Schizosaccharomyces pombe: one gene and its partners. The gene in region 2 interacts genetically with the main gene of each other region. Each region holds a gene or a part of one and is shown on either strand. Other genes may lie near its edges.

Region 1 (3,903 bases), 570 kb from region 2:
AGCTACAAAATTCAAAAAACTTAAAAAATTCAATACTTGCAAAGCAAAGAAGCAGAAAAAAAGATCCAAAAAAAAAGGATTACATTTATTTTGTTGAATTTATTATTTTTTTTAAAAAATAAATAACTTAACTAATGAATCACTATTTAGCAATTCTCTTTAGATTTGAATCCATAAAAATCATAACAATAAGCGAAGCAATATAACTGGTATTTGCTTATAAAATGAGCGATTCATGCAAGCAGAAAGTTCTTTAAAAACAAAAGAAAACATTAAAATAGATTTAGCACTTCACTTTGGCGTTATAATATCTCCATGTTTTTTTACATGATCACGATACACTCGATATGGTAAAACCAGTGTATACTTTGGCATAACAAAATCATCTCCAACAAACGATTCATCCTCAACATATGTTTTAAGAAATTGTAACACTTCGGTTTGATCAGCTTTAGTGAGGTCGATGTATATATACAACAAATATGAAAATTGGAAAATGGTATTAGCAGTTGCTTTATAAACCACAAACGATTGGTAATATTGTCTACCTTTGTTATAATAGTCTATAACATCAGGAATAACACTGTTTTTTTCCTTTTCATTAGAGACATCTTCTCCTTCGTAATCGGCAGGTGCCAATGTTAAGTATGGCGAGCTTTGTTCAGACATTGTTCTTGCTTTCACAGGTAAATTGAGGTTGCACTGGGATATGAGTATACTGTAAGCAAGGCGCGCAGCATCTCATATAATATTCTTTCAACGAGCCGACATTAACTAGAATTTGCCAACGTAAGATCAGAATGACGTTTTGATCCGCACGAAATACGTCGGTAAAGGAACCTTATTAGTAGAATATTGCAATATTGTTCGTTGTCTGCATACTACACAAGCGATACCATAAACTGGTTACGATTATATTTTCGACGATTCAGTAGCAGATATGGCGAGTTTCAAATAATACTCTCTTGGTAAAATGCCTATTATCCAACATTGTTCCATGAATCAAGGCTATTGTTCTATTAAAAATATTACGTTGAGCAATTCAAGCGGCTTTCTCACTACGGTATCTCAGTACCGTAAAACCACTGGTTTATTCTCATAAAAACAACCTTATGTTACACAGACTTACATCTAGCCAAGTCAATAGGGTTTCGGTAAAGTTCCAATGTACTTTTCATCCTATTCCTTATCCGGAAAAAGGAATCGATCATTTTTCCAGAATTTCTGATGGTACATTACCTTTTCGAGATCTTTTCGTGGTAGTAAACTGCGAGGTGATTTACATTTTACAGCCGTGCTGCCACCAAAACCACAAGAACCTCAATTTGGTAATCTTAAAATTTCTAATTTGTTCCTTCTAGAAATCCTTTTTTAAAAGCTATAATACATGGGAATTTTCAGTATAAATTGGCTGGTCCCTTTCCTTGTATTTACATTCTTTGGTCGATCATTCTTTATGGAAAAGTAACATGTGATTTACTGAATCGACTCTTTGACGTGGATACTACTGCTGGTAGCTAAGAACCTTTGTGTGAGTGAGCAAAGTAAAAACTGCTCGATTTTGAGGAGTATAATACATCTAGCAAAAATTGAAAATTTAATAAGAAGCTCTAAGCTAGTTTTGGAGAAAGCGTTGTTCGGGATCTCGTAATATACATAAATAAGTATATTTGCTAAACGATGGGAATTAAAGGTATGTTACATTTAACGCTAAAGAGTTTATCTTTTACTCTCTCCTTTACTTAAAACTAATCTGGGTTAGGTTTGGCTCAAGTACTAAGCGAGCATGCCCCAGCCAGTGTCAAACATAATGATATTAAAAATTATTTTGGACGGAAAGTGGCTATAGATGCGTAAGTTGAAAGACTAAATAGAAAGCGAAAGTCTCAGTTGACTTGGCAAAGACTGTATGGCTTCTGATTTTGTTTGTAAATATGGGTTAAACACTATGGTGTACAGTTTTTATTGCTAAAGAGCAAAGCTCTATGTCTTAACTCGAGACAAAGATATGATACAAACGAAATATAGAATAAAGGATGAATAAATTTTCACTAACAGTGACTCGGTTAAATTCATTGCTCAAGGTATTTTACATCATTTCTTTACTTTGTTGGTTCTTGAAGTTGCAAACACTAATAGGTCAAACTCTATTCAACTGATTCTTTCCTTTTCGAAGGGTTGATTTATAAAGTCTTCTTGAGGTACTTTATTAATGCTAATTTCGTATATTACAGGTCAATGAGTCTTTATCAATTTTTAATTCAAGTTCGCAGTCAAGATGGTCAACAGCTAATGAATGAACAAGGCGAGACTACTAGTCATTTAATGGGAATGTTTTATCGTACACTCCGAATTGTCGATAATGGAATAAAGCCTTGCTTTGTCTTTGATGGAAAACCACCAACATTGAAGTCAGGGGAATTAGCTAAACGTGTGGCCCGACATCAAAAAGCACGAGAGGATCAAGAGGAGACAAAAGAGGTTGGTACAGCTGAAATGGTGGATCGGTTTGCCAAACGTACGGTCAAAGTTACTCGGCAACATAATGACGAAGCAAAACGTTTACTAGAGTTAATGGGAATTCCCTTCGTTAACGCACCCTGTGAAGCAGAAGCTCAATGTGCCGCTTTAGCCCGTTCAGGAAAAGTTTATGCTGCTGCTTCTGAGGACATGGACACATTGTGCTTCCAAGCTCCTGTACTTTTGAGACACCTGACATTTAGTGAGCAAAGAAAGGAACCAATTAGTGAGTATAACATAGAAAAAGCATTGAATGGTTTAGATATGTCGGTGGAGCAGTTTGTAGACTTGTGTATTCTTTTGGGTTGTGACTATTGTGAACCTATTCGGGGAGTTGGCCCCGCTAGAGCCGTCGAGTTAATTAGGCAATACGGGACTCTCGATCGCTTTGTCAAAGAGGCGGATCGATCAAAATATCCTATTCCGGAAGATTGGCCTTATGAAGATGCCAGAAGACTGTTTTTGGATGCAGAAGTACTTCCTGGTGAAGAGATTGAGTTGAAATGGAAAAGTCCCGATGCAGATGGCATTATACAATTTCTGGTTAAGGAAAAAGGTTTCAATGAAGATCGTGTTAAATTGGGGATCAATAGACTAGAAAAAGCCTCAAAGACAATTCCACAGGGTCGTCTTGATTCCTTTTTTAAACCAGTCCCTTCTTCTCCCAAAAAACCTGTAGATACAAAGAGCAAAGGATCAGCAAAAAGGAAAAGAGATTCAAATAAGGGTGGTGAAAGCAAGAAAAAGCGTTGAAAACGAAGTCATGTAATTGTTATTAATCTAAAAAAAAAACTTAAAAAAAGCAAGACGCATGTAGATAAAACTATACTACGCTATAATAATAGTAAATCTGTTTAATGCATGACTTTTACGTAAAAATAATTAGTCTAAGGAGGTAATTCTGATCATATAAGCTAATAATGGTATACAAAACTCGTTTCTAAGTAATAATATGCCAAAAAACAATCTGGCTGATACAACTCAAAAAACGAAAAGCAGTGGATTCGGACGATGGATCAAAGATCTTTAAAATAGTTCAATTTCTTGTGAGCCAGATTCTTGCATTGAAGAAGCGTTCTTCAAACTAAGAAATATGTTCCTAATTGAAATTAGCAAAGGCGAAAAAACTAGGAGCAAAAATGCTTTATGTCTCTTGGAAACAACATACCAAAAAATAGCAACCGTACAAGCAAATGGCATTTGGTATTGTAAGGGCATTAGCCAAAAGTTCACAGTTTGAAAGAAGGGCCAGACCATATAATTAGCCTTTAAATGTTAGCAACAATACAACAGAACCATTTAAGAAAGAAAATTTAGAAATTAAGTGTACCTTTAAAGTGGGCCAGAAAACAGCTTGAAGTTTATCGTAGGCGCCCCTGAAAC
Region 2 (4,267 bases):
TTTTATTGTTATTATAATCAATAAAGTAAGCAAATTTACACTGGGGCACAATCAAACATTGGTATGCAAAGAACATTAATTCGATATACCAATACGATGTCAAAAAAATTGAAGGATCTCCCTGTCAGCTCAACGTTCACATCAAATCTTCCGCCTGATCCACTGGTACCGACCGTACAGGCAATGAAAAAGGCTGATGACAGAATCTTACATGTTCCTCGATTTGTGGAAGGCGGCGGCTTATTTACTTATTTGACTCCATCACTAAAAGCCAATTCTCAATTATTAGCTTATAGCCCTTCGTCCGTGAAGTCATTAGGACTCGAAGAATCTGAAACTCAAACTGAAGCTTTTCAACAGCTTGTTGTCGGTTCTAACGTTGATGTCAATAAGTGTTGTCCTTGGGCGCAATGTTATGGAGGATACCAATTTGGGGATTGGGCAGGTCAGTTGGGTGATGGCCGCGTAGTATCCTTATGCGAACTTACCAACCCGGAAACTGGAAAACGCTTTGAGATTCAAGTCAAAGGCGCAGGAAGAACACCATACTCTCGATTTGCAGATGGAAAGGCTGTTTTAAGATCTAGCATTCGAGAATATTTATGTTGTGAAGCTTTATATGCTCTAGGCATTCCAACAACACAGGCTCTGGCAATTTCCAATCTTGAAGGTGTTGTAGCACAACGTGAGACTGTAGAGCCTTGCGCCGTTGTTTGCCGTATGGCCCCTTCTTGGATCAGAATTGGGACTTTCGATCTCCAGGGGATTAATAATCAAATTGAGTCTTTACGGAAATTAGCCGACTATTGTCTAAATTTCGTTTTAAAAGATGGATTTCATGGTGGAGATACTGGAAATCGCTACGAAAAACTTCTTCGAGATGTTGCATATCGAAATGCTAAAACTGTAGCCAAATGGCAAGCATATGGATTTATGAATGGTGTTTTGAATACTGATAATACCAGTATACTGGGACTATCAATTGATTATGGACCTTTTGGATTTTTAGATGTTTACAACCCATCTTTTACACCTAATCATGACGATGTATTTTTGCGATATTCATATCGCAACCAACCTGATATTATTATTTGGAATTTATCAAAATTAGCATCTGCTTTGGTTGAGTTAATTGGAGCTTGCGACAAAGTTGATGACTTGCAATATATGGAACAACTTCATAACTCTACTGATTTGTTAAAAAAGGCGTTTGCTTATACTTCTGAAGTTTTTGAAAAGATAGTAGAAGAGTATAAAAATATTGTCCAGAATGATTTCTATGATCTTATGTTCAAACGAGTGGGTCTTCCCTCTGACTCATCTAACAAAATTCTGATAACTGATTTGTTACAAATTTTGGAGGATTATGAATTGGATATGCCAAATTGTTTTTCCTTTCTTTCTAGAAACTCTCCCTCTTCAATGGAGAATGAAGAATATGCTGCAAAATTGATGCAAGCATGTATTTGTCTAAACCCGAATAATGAAAGAGTTAGAAATGAATCTGTCAAAGCTTTCACTAATTGGGTTGGTCGATATAGTGAAGCAACGAAAACTCAGGAAGATTCATCCCGATTAGCGAGCATGAAAAAAGTCAACCCACATTTTACTCTTAGAAATTGGGTTCTTGAAGAGGTGATTAAAGAAGCATACATCGGGAAATTTGAGCTTTTTAAAAAAGTGTGTAAAATGGCTGCCTGTCCGTTCGAAGATACTTGGGGGTTTTCCAAGGAAGAAGAGGATTATTTATGCTATAACACTACTCCCTCCAAAAGCCAAATTCAATGTTCCTGCTCTAGCTAGAACCCTTCTTACTTGCCATTTATTTTTTTAATGTAATTTAAAATTTAGGAATAGCTAATCGTATGAAATAAATGATACAACGAATAGGCTCTTGAGTATAATTTTTTTTAGACTCTAAGACTTTTGTAAATCTTTTTAAATTTTATTCATTAATTTTATTCCACTTGCCATTAAAATTTGCATTTGCTTAATAAAGATTGCGATGCAGTTGCTAATGCCCAGTTTGCTATTTCTTAGCTGGCTTTTACGCGTTCGTAGTTTTTTCGACCGAAAATTTATTATTGGTCGACTTTAACCTGCTAAACGCTTGAATAAACAAAATGCCAAAAAATCTCAATCTCATTAGTTAAATCAAAGACTGAAAATGAGATTTAAAACAAGGATTAGCAACTTGTACACGTTGACGCGTAAGTTGGAAAAGATCAGCAGAAAGTTCGTTTACTAATCAAATTTAGGTCTTGTTCAGGCGCTAGATAAAATTGGAAGATTTTGCTGGCTTCGTCTGATGCCTGAAACTGTAAATTTTGTGATAGTGCCAGATTTTAGGATGACTCAAGTTTGGTCGTAAGTGAAGATATTAAGCATTTAACGGTGAAAAAAATCACATTGTGAAACTAATAAAGAAACAGAGTTTTAGAAGTCGTATGATTAACTATCTTTTTCTATTTGATTGCCCTAACTAACGTAAACGGAAAGGAAACAATATTTGAGGACTATGTCGTCCAAAGCAATGCAGACAACGTGATAAATCTAGAAGTTCCTATAGATAATTTCTATAAAGCCTTACGATCAGCGGCCAACGCTAGTGATTCTACTGTTCGTCTATCCAAGAAGAATAACCAGCCATTACTTTCGTTGTCTACCACTTGGAGTGGAAGGGCGTTTGGTTCGAATATTGTGACTCATAATATACCTGTTCGAGTACTATCACAATCATACGTGTCAGTTATTAAGGAACCAACTGCTCCTGAACCAGACTGTCATATATTCCTTCCACAACTGAATTTTCTAAGACACGTCGTGGACAAATACAAGAGTCTTTCAGACCGTATTATAATGTCAGCCAACATGTCAGGCGAATTGCAGTTATCGGTAAACATACCTTCAGCTAGAGTAAGCACAAAATGGAAAGGATTAGAGAATCCAGAGTTAGATCCTAGTCAAGTCGAAGACATCAGTCGACATCCCTCTCAAACAAGGGCACCCGAAGAATTTGTTCACATGAGACTAGACAGCAAGGACTTAGTCAACATGTTAAAAATATCCAGTGTTGCAAAGCGTGTAATAGCGTGTATGTACTATGAGAGAATCCTTTTTATGACCACGAACTAACCTTTTTACATTACAGGTTTCTGTGAAGGACATGCGCTAGTACTTTATGTTTATATAACAGATCCAGAAGATGAACATACGGCTGTTTTAACATACTACATTAGTACCTATGTGGACTAAGGTTACTTCAATTTGTTTATGATTTGATTTAATTAACGAATAATTGTTATGAGTGACTAGCCACATTTTTAATGTACATTAAAATGAAAAGAGATTAATCAACATCTACCATGCTTATACTTATTTTCTCTCTCTTCCTTTATCGATCTTACCGTTCTTTTTTATTTATTTTATACAGTTGTTGTAATCTCGGCAACTCAGTGTTTTACTATTCCGTTGATATCTCTTAAAAGGATAACACCAAAAAGAAATATAATGTTCAAGTCACAGAAAATCTGTTGATAAAATCCATATGTTTTCACGTTTTCAATGAGAGATACATACGATTAAACACAAACGTATGTTTTCAAGCAATTAACTTGAATATGAATAAACCTTGGTTCATCTTTCTTTAATCTTTTAGACAAGCAACTGTTCAGAAATCTATAAAGTCTCAATTGAACATTTAAGTGCTCAATGGGAAATATATACTTAATAAAAATTGAATATTTTAATCGTTTTTTTGAGAAGATATATGCCATTGACTGTAGCTTCTATTAATTTCCGCCTATTCTTTCTTGTACTTTGGAGGCATCGCTATACATTTTACGTAGAAGTGATGAAAATGGCGAGTTCCTCTTTAAAAGTGCGAAAATTTCAGGCTGTCTGTCATCGGAATTGACTATGTTCGATAGTTATTCCTCCTCCGATGCAGTCGGCTACACATGTAAACTGTACCAACATTCAGTACGAAAGGGGCTGAACGTTGTTACCTAGAAAAGTTGGTATCGCAATAGAGGTAACGATAGTGAAAATCCCACAATAACTTAAATATGGAGAGGTATCCGGGGAAATCCGCTACATAAACAACACATATACAGACATATAAATTGACTTAAACGTACCTTCTTTCTATAATAGTTTTACCGTTCCTTAATTGCAAATTCTTTCTTGTTTTCATAGATAGCATTGTTACTATTATTGTTATATATTCAATATAGACTGATAATTAGGATTGTACATTTCGTTTCAT
Region 3 (7,738 bases), 3.4 Mb from region 2:
CGAGGTTATTGTTGCCGGTAAAAATGTTTTTGTAGTTTCTACTATGTGTTCTTATATTTTGTATTTAGGCTATTGGGGATAATTGCTCATCCGTCTACTGTTTATACGCAACAGCCGCAGATATTTTTTATTTATTTAATTTTTAATTATTACCCTGACCCGATAATTAACCTTGTTAACTGACATTATCTTCAACCCCTGAATAATAATTCATTTGCCGTTGACTTAGAACATACTAAATTTATTTATTTCTTTTTTTATTTATCAAAAAATACTGTTAATCCAAGCTTTTGCGCAATCAGCAACTACTTTTTTGCAATCTTATTTATTTAATATTTGCATTAAAATTGTGTAAGAAAAACAAAACAAAATTATCAACTTTTTATATACATACATATTTTATATTGATCTAACGCATAAAAAAAGACACGCAAAAGAAAAAAGATTTATTTATGAAATTCTATTGAATAACTGGATTCAATATTTCACATATTTTTTTATTTACTTACAACAAGGAACAAATATCGAGATCCAACGTGATATTCTACCTGGTATCTTAATAATAGTTTGGCTGTTGTAATGTGGTTTAATACACTAATATAAAATAAAGAGGGTTGCTTAGCACTCAATAATGCAAAAGATCTTATACGTACTTAGTTATAGAATTTTCTTTTCACCATTTTCATAGCATTTTCATATATAATAAAAAAACAAAATGGCGACTACGGCGCAAAAAATAAAAGAAGTTGAAGATGAAATGGCCAAAACCCAAAAAAATAAAGCTACGGCTAAGCACTTGGGAATGTTAAAGGCCAAGCTTGCAAAATTGAAACGTGAATTGATCACCCCTACCGGTGGAGGAGGTGGTGGAGGGCGTATGTACTGAACGTCAAATTTTTGTTTGGAGTACTAATCTTTCTTAGTTGGTTTCGATGTTGCTCGTACCGGTATTGGTACTGTAGGTTTCATTGGATTTCCCTCCGTCGGTAAAAGTACACTCATGACTCAGCTTACAGGAACGAGAAGTGAAGCCGCTGCATATGAATTTACAACTTTAACAACGGTTCCGGGTGTTTTGCAATACAATGGTGCAAAAATTCAAATTTTGGATTTGCCTGGTATTATCGAGGGTGCCAAAGATGGTCGTGGTCGTGGTAAACAAGTTATTACTGTTGCACGTACTTGCAACCTTATATTTATTGTTTTGGATGTATTGAAACCAATGTCTCATAAGCGTATTATTGAAGAGGAATTGGAAGGATTTGGTATAAGATTAAATAAGGAACCCCCCAACATTGTATTCAAAAAGAAAGAACGTGGTGGTATCAATATCACCAATACTGTCCCCTTGACTCATATTGATTTGGACGAAATTCGTGCTGTTTGCAGCGAATATCGTGTTAACTCTGCTGACATTGCTTTTCGTTGTGATGCCACCATTGATGATTTGATTGATGTCTTGGAAGGAAATCGCGTTTATATCCCGGCACTTTACGTGTTAAATAAAATTGATTCAATTTCTATTGAAGAACTTGATTTGATTGATCGTATTCCTAACGCCGTACCCATTTGTGGTAACAGGGGTTGGAACATTGACGAACTTAAAGAAACGATGTGGGACTATTTGAATTTGGTTAGAGTCTATACACGCCCTAGAGGTCTTGAACCTGATTACAGCGAACCTGTTATCCTTCGTACTGGCCATTCTACTGTCGAGGATTTTGTAAGTTTTCGAATTGCTTCTGCCGATCTTCGTGTTGCTAACTTCTTTAGTGTAACAATATTCATTCAAGTATCAAATCCCAGTTTAAACATGCTTATGTTTGGGGAAAAAGCGTTCCTTATCCTGGCATGCGTGTTGGTTTATCTCATGTACTGTTGGATGAGGATGTAGTGACGATTGTCAAAAAATAAGTCTTTTTTCCTAACATCTTACTTTCCTTGGTTTCCCAGTATTGGAATATATAGGCCTGAAAACTTATTTAACTGGTTACTCTAATAGGTGGGTTACAATGACTTAAAATTTTAGATGGTAATTTATTTCGTTATTTGTTCAAATTGTTTTTTCTTTAAAGTAAAAGTTTTCGTGTATTATAAGCTTAATGAATGATTGTGTAGAGTGTTTTGTGACATATGTCTTCCTTCAATTACTTTTTAATATCAAATTTGCAAACGCAACTTATGAAACGCTACTCACTTTGCTGAAAGAACCGATCATTAAATAAATCATTTCTGAGTATAGTACGGGAACTTTTAAAGGTTAAAGTTGAAAATTTTAGAAGAATGAGTCTCCAATTAGAGAAAAATTTGATTCTTGAACTTATTCCTCATTTTTACAGTCTTGGATGGATGAAATTTGGCAGGTAGCGTTCAAGACGTTTAATGTTCAGTAATTTTTTAAAGCTAATTGGTATTTAGTGGAAACTTTTGTCTAAAGAACAAGTAATTGTACGGTATTCAAACGATTTTGTTAACATTTAGTGGTTATGCAATTTGCGTTAAGGACAGGGTTCAAAGAGACTTCATAACGGAAAACGATATCGTGACCTTTAATTTAAGGTAAATTATTCATTTGGATCAGCTCCAATTAGTATCTAACCTTTTATACAGCAATCAGTCAGTCACCAAGGATTTAGTCAATTGGGCCTACATTTTCTCATGGGTTTTGAGGTATGCATCATTTTTTCTATTTACAGCAATTTTTAACACATCAAAAGTAATATGGATGCAGTAGCCTGTATATATTCTACTTCAGTCGCTGCAGTCGGAGCATCGATGTATAATGAGAAATTTACTACACAATCTAAGGAAATGATCAAAGGAATTCCAAAGGGAAATCCTTCAGCAGGCTATCTTTGCTGTTTTGATACTCTAGAGGTTCCTAGTAAGTTGTGTTTTCTGTTGGTGTTGACTGGTATCTGAATACTGATTATGTAGTTATCCACAATGGCGATAGTAAAACAATATTAGATGAACTAAAAAAAGTCATCGAGCTTTATCCACAAACATGTGCTGTTCTTATTCGTGGACATGGGGTTATCGGTTGGGGAGCAACATGGGAAAAATCAAAAACTCAAATGGAATGCTACGAATATCTTTTTGAGTTAGACTACAAATTGAAAACGTTGTAGGCTATTTCTAAACACTATTTAATTCTCTAAATCAGCATTCCTTTCATACGTTTCCTTTTCTCTACGAGTTGCTGAAGGCGTTGTTGTCGGTCGTCAAATGGTTTTGTCTTGGATGCTTCTTCATTCCTTGAAGATATAGAAATATTTACATCCGGGAGGTCTTCCTCTAAATTATTGTTGTTGTCATAAAACAGTGTAGACTTGTCGTAAGAAAATGAATTATGTTGTCCTTTCCTTTTCAAAGTTGTCATCCTGTATGTTAATAATCTGTAATTATCGTTAAACAACTCAATAGTTTAAACACTTACGGATTTGGGTGTAAAGGTTGTCTAAAGTCATGCATCTTTGGCTGTTTTGTGTCACGATCCGTCGAGTTGATATTTGATACTTGGAATTGGTTGTTTATTTCTCTTCTCCACTCCTGAGCCTTTTGCGAATCTATAGTATTTAAATGCTTTAAAAATGAATGTATACTTTTCGTAGCTAGAGAATGCGGTATCCGTCCTGTAACACTCAATTGAGATAACCTCCTATTTCTATGAATATCCAAACCTCTTAAGCAAACACGCTTATATTTTTCCAGTTTCTTTTCTTGTTCAATGCTATATGTAACGGGACATATCTCGAACGGTGATTCTTCAGACTTGGCTAAAGCACGTTTCGGTTTACCTAAAGCGGACGCAGTAATAAATCCATTCAAGGCATTTTCTGGCATGAAAAATTTCTTTTTTATTTTCGTTCTCAATTGCACTTTCTTTGGAGCTACTACAACTTCTTCATTTTCTTTGGGAATTTCTATGACTCGTTTATCACAAACCGGGCGAAACTTTTCTGGTAAAATTCTATAACTTTTTTCCGATAGGCTGAGACCGCGACCACTGACAATATTATCTTGCAAAGTTCGATAAGCGTCTTTGGCTCTCTCCCATTTTGCTTCTTCTTTGCCTCGCGTCAAAAGCATATAAATATAACCTTTCCTTTTTCTCCCAGTTCTGCCCATTCTTTGTAACATCCTTATAGGAGAAGCAGATGCATCGTAACATATGATCATGTCTACTTCACCTATGTCCAAACCCTCTTCTCCAATAGAGGTAGCTATTAAAGTATTGACTTCACCTTTTTGAAATTGTTTCACAGTCTAGAGATTAGTTAGTTAAGGATCCATCATTTTCAGATTACATACTTCATTCTGTAATTTTTGAGACATTCCAGCAGCCTTTCTCACAGCAGATTGTCCAATAAAAATAGCTGGTCTCACATTTGGATAAAATTTACCCAAAAATCGTAAAATCTCTTCGGCGCTAGAGCGGATTTCAACAAAAATCATAATTCTGGTATCCTTGGTTTGTTCTTTTTCAAAATATTCTGTAACAATACGTTCCAAATGCTCTAGTTTGGGATGTCCGACAAAAGACTGATCTCGCAACAAAATTTCTATATCGTCCATTAAAGGACGATAATTTTCGTGATTTATTATGCGTTTCTTATAACCTGATCTTCCTACAAAGCATTCTTCTTCTACCTCTCGCAATTTTTGATAAAACGGTCGGATACCATGGTTGAGTAACAAATTTAAAGGATAGGCAAAAGTCGCTAATGCATCAAAAGTATTTAAAATATCCCATTTTTGATTAGCAGGAAAGTTTTGACCAGACATTGCAAGAAAAGCTTGTTTAGCTTGAACCACAGTGAAAGAAGTTATGTCTTTAGCATTCTGAATTCGATAATAATTACCCTTGTTCAATTTTTGAAGCATAGGTTCCAATATAGAAGAAAATCGATCTCTTATATCTGTAATCTCTGCAGACAAATCTACAGGAAAAAAATCCACCTCTTTCTTCTGAACGTATTGCGATATATCAATGCTGTTTTCAGTTCTAATCTCAATCCTGGATATATGAAGAGAATCAATTACATTCTGAATTGCTTCTAACTTATTTCCGGGGGTAGCACTAAGAGCCAGTATACGGAAATTTTTGTTGCTAAGAGAAAGTAGATGAACAACTTCCACATAAGCGTAATTTCCAGTACTACGATGTGCTTCATCAATTACTAAACAAGATATACGAGTCCGATCGCAAATTCCATGCTTGATGTCGTTTAAAATGGTTTGAGGAGTTACGAAGAAAACATTTCGACTTTGATAATACTGATTTCGAGTTGTAACAGGAACGTGTCCACTTAATTCAGCAGTTTGACTCTTTGGAATTCCAGTGATTTTATAGCAAGCTTCCATTTGTTGTGTAACCAATGGTTTAGTAGGAGCCATGAAAACAATGTAACTTTTTGGAAACCAACGAAGATAATTCATCATCACAACGGCTGCAATAAATGTTTTACCTAAACCTGTTGGCAAAGCTACAAGTACATTTTCAAATAAAGCTTTTTGGACAATATTAAACTGATAATCTCGAAAGGAGACGTTTATAGGGTATACCCATTGCTGTGCTGCACTTTCATCTAACTCGTGTTGTAGACGATATCTATTGGAATCGTTGGCATCAAAATATTCATCAACTGAGTATCCATTTAAACCTATCGTGTTATTATGATATTCATTCTCAATTTTATCAACTACTTGGGTGTCCAATTCGTCCCAGTCTTCATCACTACTAAAAGAATCATCGGACATCCTTATCAATGATTTATATTGTTAGCAAAAATTTAGCTGGAATTACTTAAAAACGAATTTTGCTAAGGTACTTCGTTTCGTCAGTCGTCAAATACAACAATTCCATAAGACATTCACTGCAAAGCGTCCTTTATTGTCGGAAGTAATTGTAAAGGACAAGTTTTTTCCCTCAAATGGTTTAAGATACAATTAACTTCATGAGAAAGTAATGAAGTTAATTATGTTTAAAATTACATTGCCAATGTGTATATTCCATGTCTTTTCAGTAACGATTTGTTATAACGAATTATTGCGCGGGTGTAGTATTGTATTAGGGAAGCACCTAATAACCGATATAGAATTCGTATATCATCATAATGGTTTTTGTATATATTCACTATAAGTCGCTCTCTATACGATAAACAAATAACAAGCATAGCCGAACAAATCCTATCAGAAAGACATGTAATGGCTCTTAGATTAAAGAAAATGATTAGCTAGATGAAGTAAAACGAGTTGAAAAGTGTCCGTACATAGACTAATGTTGCTAGAATTCAGGACTTTCTGATGTTTGTACCTTCAAAATTGGACTTTGTTTGTGGTAACATATCACACATCAAGTGAGTAAAAAAACACTCATTTATCGAATAATAGCCATAATCTTTAATCTATCACATAATTTGAAATTTCCTCTTCGAAGAGTTCCTTTGGAAATTCCATAAAGCCATTTAACGTATTTTAAATTTACTGATTCACTAAGTATAAATTAAAGAATTTAAGCACTGCATTAAGTGAAATAGTGATTTTGTTCAAAGGTCATACTTCTATGAAATTGTAAGCTACGCAGTTTGGTATCTGATTTAAGGATACGTAGAACTGCGGTGAGTTTTCCTTGTGATCTATTATATTACAATACACAGGTTGTATAAGTAGCAACTGAGTATAGGTATTGTATTAACTGGGTTATAATGTTACCTATCACTAATATAGCTCATAACTGAACTGAGGAACGAGGTTCAGCAGTAGCTCTATTTATAGTATTCAGATAATATTGATCTTAATAGATTATCATTAAGATCAATCTCCATATCGTATCATACATGGTACGATATATAATTAGAACATGTGACATATAGTGATACTCAACGTAGTGTATTATAGCGTAGTGTAGTATTGCTGACATTGCCCTCCCCAAGATTTTCTATGTAAATCTGAGGATAAGTCATATGTTCTCAGATATTTAGATTATTGTTTTTAATATAATCATTGACAATTGCTTTGTCCGCTTGTAGCGCTGTAGCTAATGTAGTCCATCCTGACATAATAGTACTCGGATTTAGATTCGAAATGTACTTGACATTTAAGTAGAGTACTTGTTCTCTGTTTTTATGTTCTAGGATATGAAGAATTGTTCCAATATCAGACTCATCAATGGTAGCGTAATTGAGTTCTGAATTATGTCGATACTTTTCTAGGTGAGAAACATGAAAAGTAGATGAAAACATGTGCTTGATTGAATCTGGAAGATCCAATTCATAGTTGTTTGGACCCGACTTCTGTAACACATAGAACGGTCCTGCAAAACTAGGTGCTAATTTATTGGATTTATGAAGAAAACCTGTTTTCGTTCTTTTGACCATAACTAGGTCTCCAGGTTGAAATTCTTCAATTTCTTGTATTTTCATATCGAAATACTTTTTCATCTTTATGTTGTTTGTATTCAAGTGTTCTTTAACTGTTTGAAATACTTGGATCGTTTCCTGAGAGTTTTCGTCAGTTTTGTCACTAAAGCTAGGTAACTCTAAAGGTGATAAAGCTGGTGAATAGCGATGTACTATCTCAAAAGGTGTCATTTGAGTTGCTGAATGTATCGCATTGTTGTAAGATTGTTGCACTAGGGATATATGATCTACCCATGTATTTGGATGTGTGCTACATACACATCTTAGTAATTTCTCCACAGTTTGGTTTGTACGCTCAGTTTGTCCATCAGTTT

Evidence for each region. A genetic interaction does not mean that the proteins touch.
Region 1: mutations in hus1 (region 2) and rad2 together harm fitness more than expected from each alone (negative genetic interaction), as found in Schizosaccharomyces pombe (2 studies listed by BioGRID).
Region 3: mutations in hus1 (region 2) and fml1 together harm fitness more than expected from each alone (negative genetic interaction), as found in Schizosaccharomyces pombe (2 studies listed by BioGRID).

What each region holds. Positions count from the first base shown.
Region 1 is NC_003424.3:5,389,039-5,392,941, reverse strand, and holds rad2 (FEN-1 endonuclease Rad2), read left to right. Parts: upstream 1-1,519; 5' UTR 1,520-1,680; coding exon 1,681-1,693; intron 1,694-1,762; coding exon 1,763-1,853; exon of another isoform or gene 1,854-2,030; intron 2,031-2,038; exon of another isoform or gene 2,039-2,234; coding exon 2,235-3,273; 3' UTR 3,274-3,356; downstream 3,357-3,903. Other genes in the region: SPOM_SPAC3G6.07 (uncharacterized protein), read right to left, coding at 292-669; SPOM_SPAC3G6.05 (Mpv17/PMP22 family protein 1), read right to left, coding at 3,547-3,619, 3,689-3,786, 3,851-3,903. UniProt on the Schizosaccharomyces pombe protein: Structure-specific nuclease with 5'-flap endonuclease and 5'-3' exonuclease activities involved in DNA replication and repair.
Region 2 is NC_003424.3:4,820,479-4,824,745, reverse strand, and holds hus1 (checkpoint clamp complex protein Hus1), read left to right. Parts: upstream 1-2,042; 5' UTR 2,043-2,167; coding exon 2,168-2,210; exon of another isoform or gene 2,211-2,258; coding exon 2,259-2,367; exon of another isoform or gene 2,368-2,432; coding exon 2,433-2,445; exon of another isoform or gene 2,446-2,499; coding exon 2,500-3,094; exon of another isoform or gene 3,095-3,151; coding exon 3,152-3,255; 3' UTR 3,256-3,759; downstream 3,760-4,267. Other genes in the region: fmp40 (adenylyltransferase), read left to right, coding at 97-1,803. UniProt on the Schizosaccharomyces pombe protein: Essential in controlling the S-M checkpoint that couples mitosis to the completion of DNA replication. It is also required for the response to DNA damage.
Region 3 is NC_003424.3:1,469,085-1,476,822, reverse strand, and holds fml1 (ATP-dependent 3' to 5' DNA helicase), read right to left. Parts: upstream 5,990-7,738; 5' UTR 5,764-5,989; coding exon 4,315-5,763; intron 4,270-4,314; coding exon 3,440-4,269; exon of another isoform or gene 3,384-3,439; coding exon 3,158-3,383; 3' UTR 3,132-3,157; coding exon of another isoform or gene 2,938-3,131; 3' UTR 2,885-2,937; coding exon of another isoform or gene 2,718-2,884; 3' UTR 2,671-2,717; coding exon of another isoform or gene 2,611-2,670; 3' UTR 2,560-2,610; coding exon of another isoform or gene 2,482-2,559; 3' UTR 2,443-2,481; coding exon of another isoform or gene 2,419-2,442; 3' UTR 2,364-2,418; coding exon of another isoform or gene 2,284-2,363; 3' UTR 1,915-2,283; coding exon of another isoform or gene 1,774-1,914; 3' UTR 1,724-1,773; coding exon of another isoform or gene 924-1,723; 3' UTR 876-923; coding exon of another isoform or gene 716-875; 3' UTR 548-715; downstream 1-547. Other genes in the region: SPOM_SPAC9.07C (GTPase Rbg1), read left to right, coding at 716-875, 924-1,723, 1,774-1,914; SPOM_SPAC9.06C (5'-methylthioribulose-1-phosphate dehydratase), read left to right, coding at 2,284-2,363, 2,419-2,442, 2,482-2,559, 2,611-2,670, 2,718-2,884, 2,938-3,131; Tf2-1 (retrotransposable element/transposon Tf2-type), read right to left, coding at 6,975-7,738. UniProt on the Schizosaccharomyces pombe protein: ATP-dependent DNA helicase involved in DNA damage repair by homologous recombination and in genome maintenance. Capable of unwinding D-loops. Plays a role in limiting crossover recombination during mitotic DNA double-strand break (DSB) repair.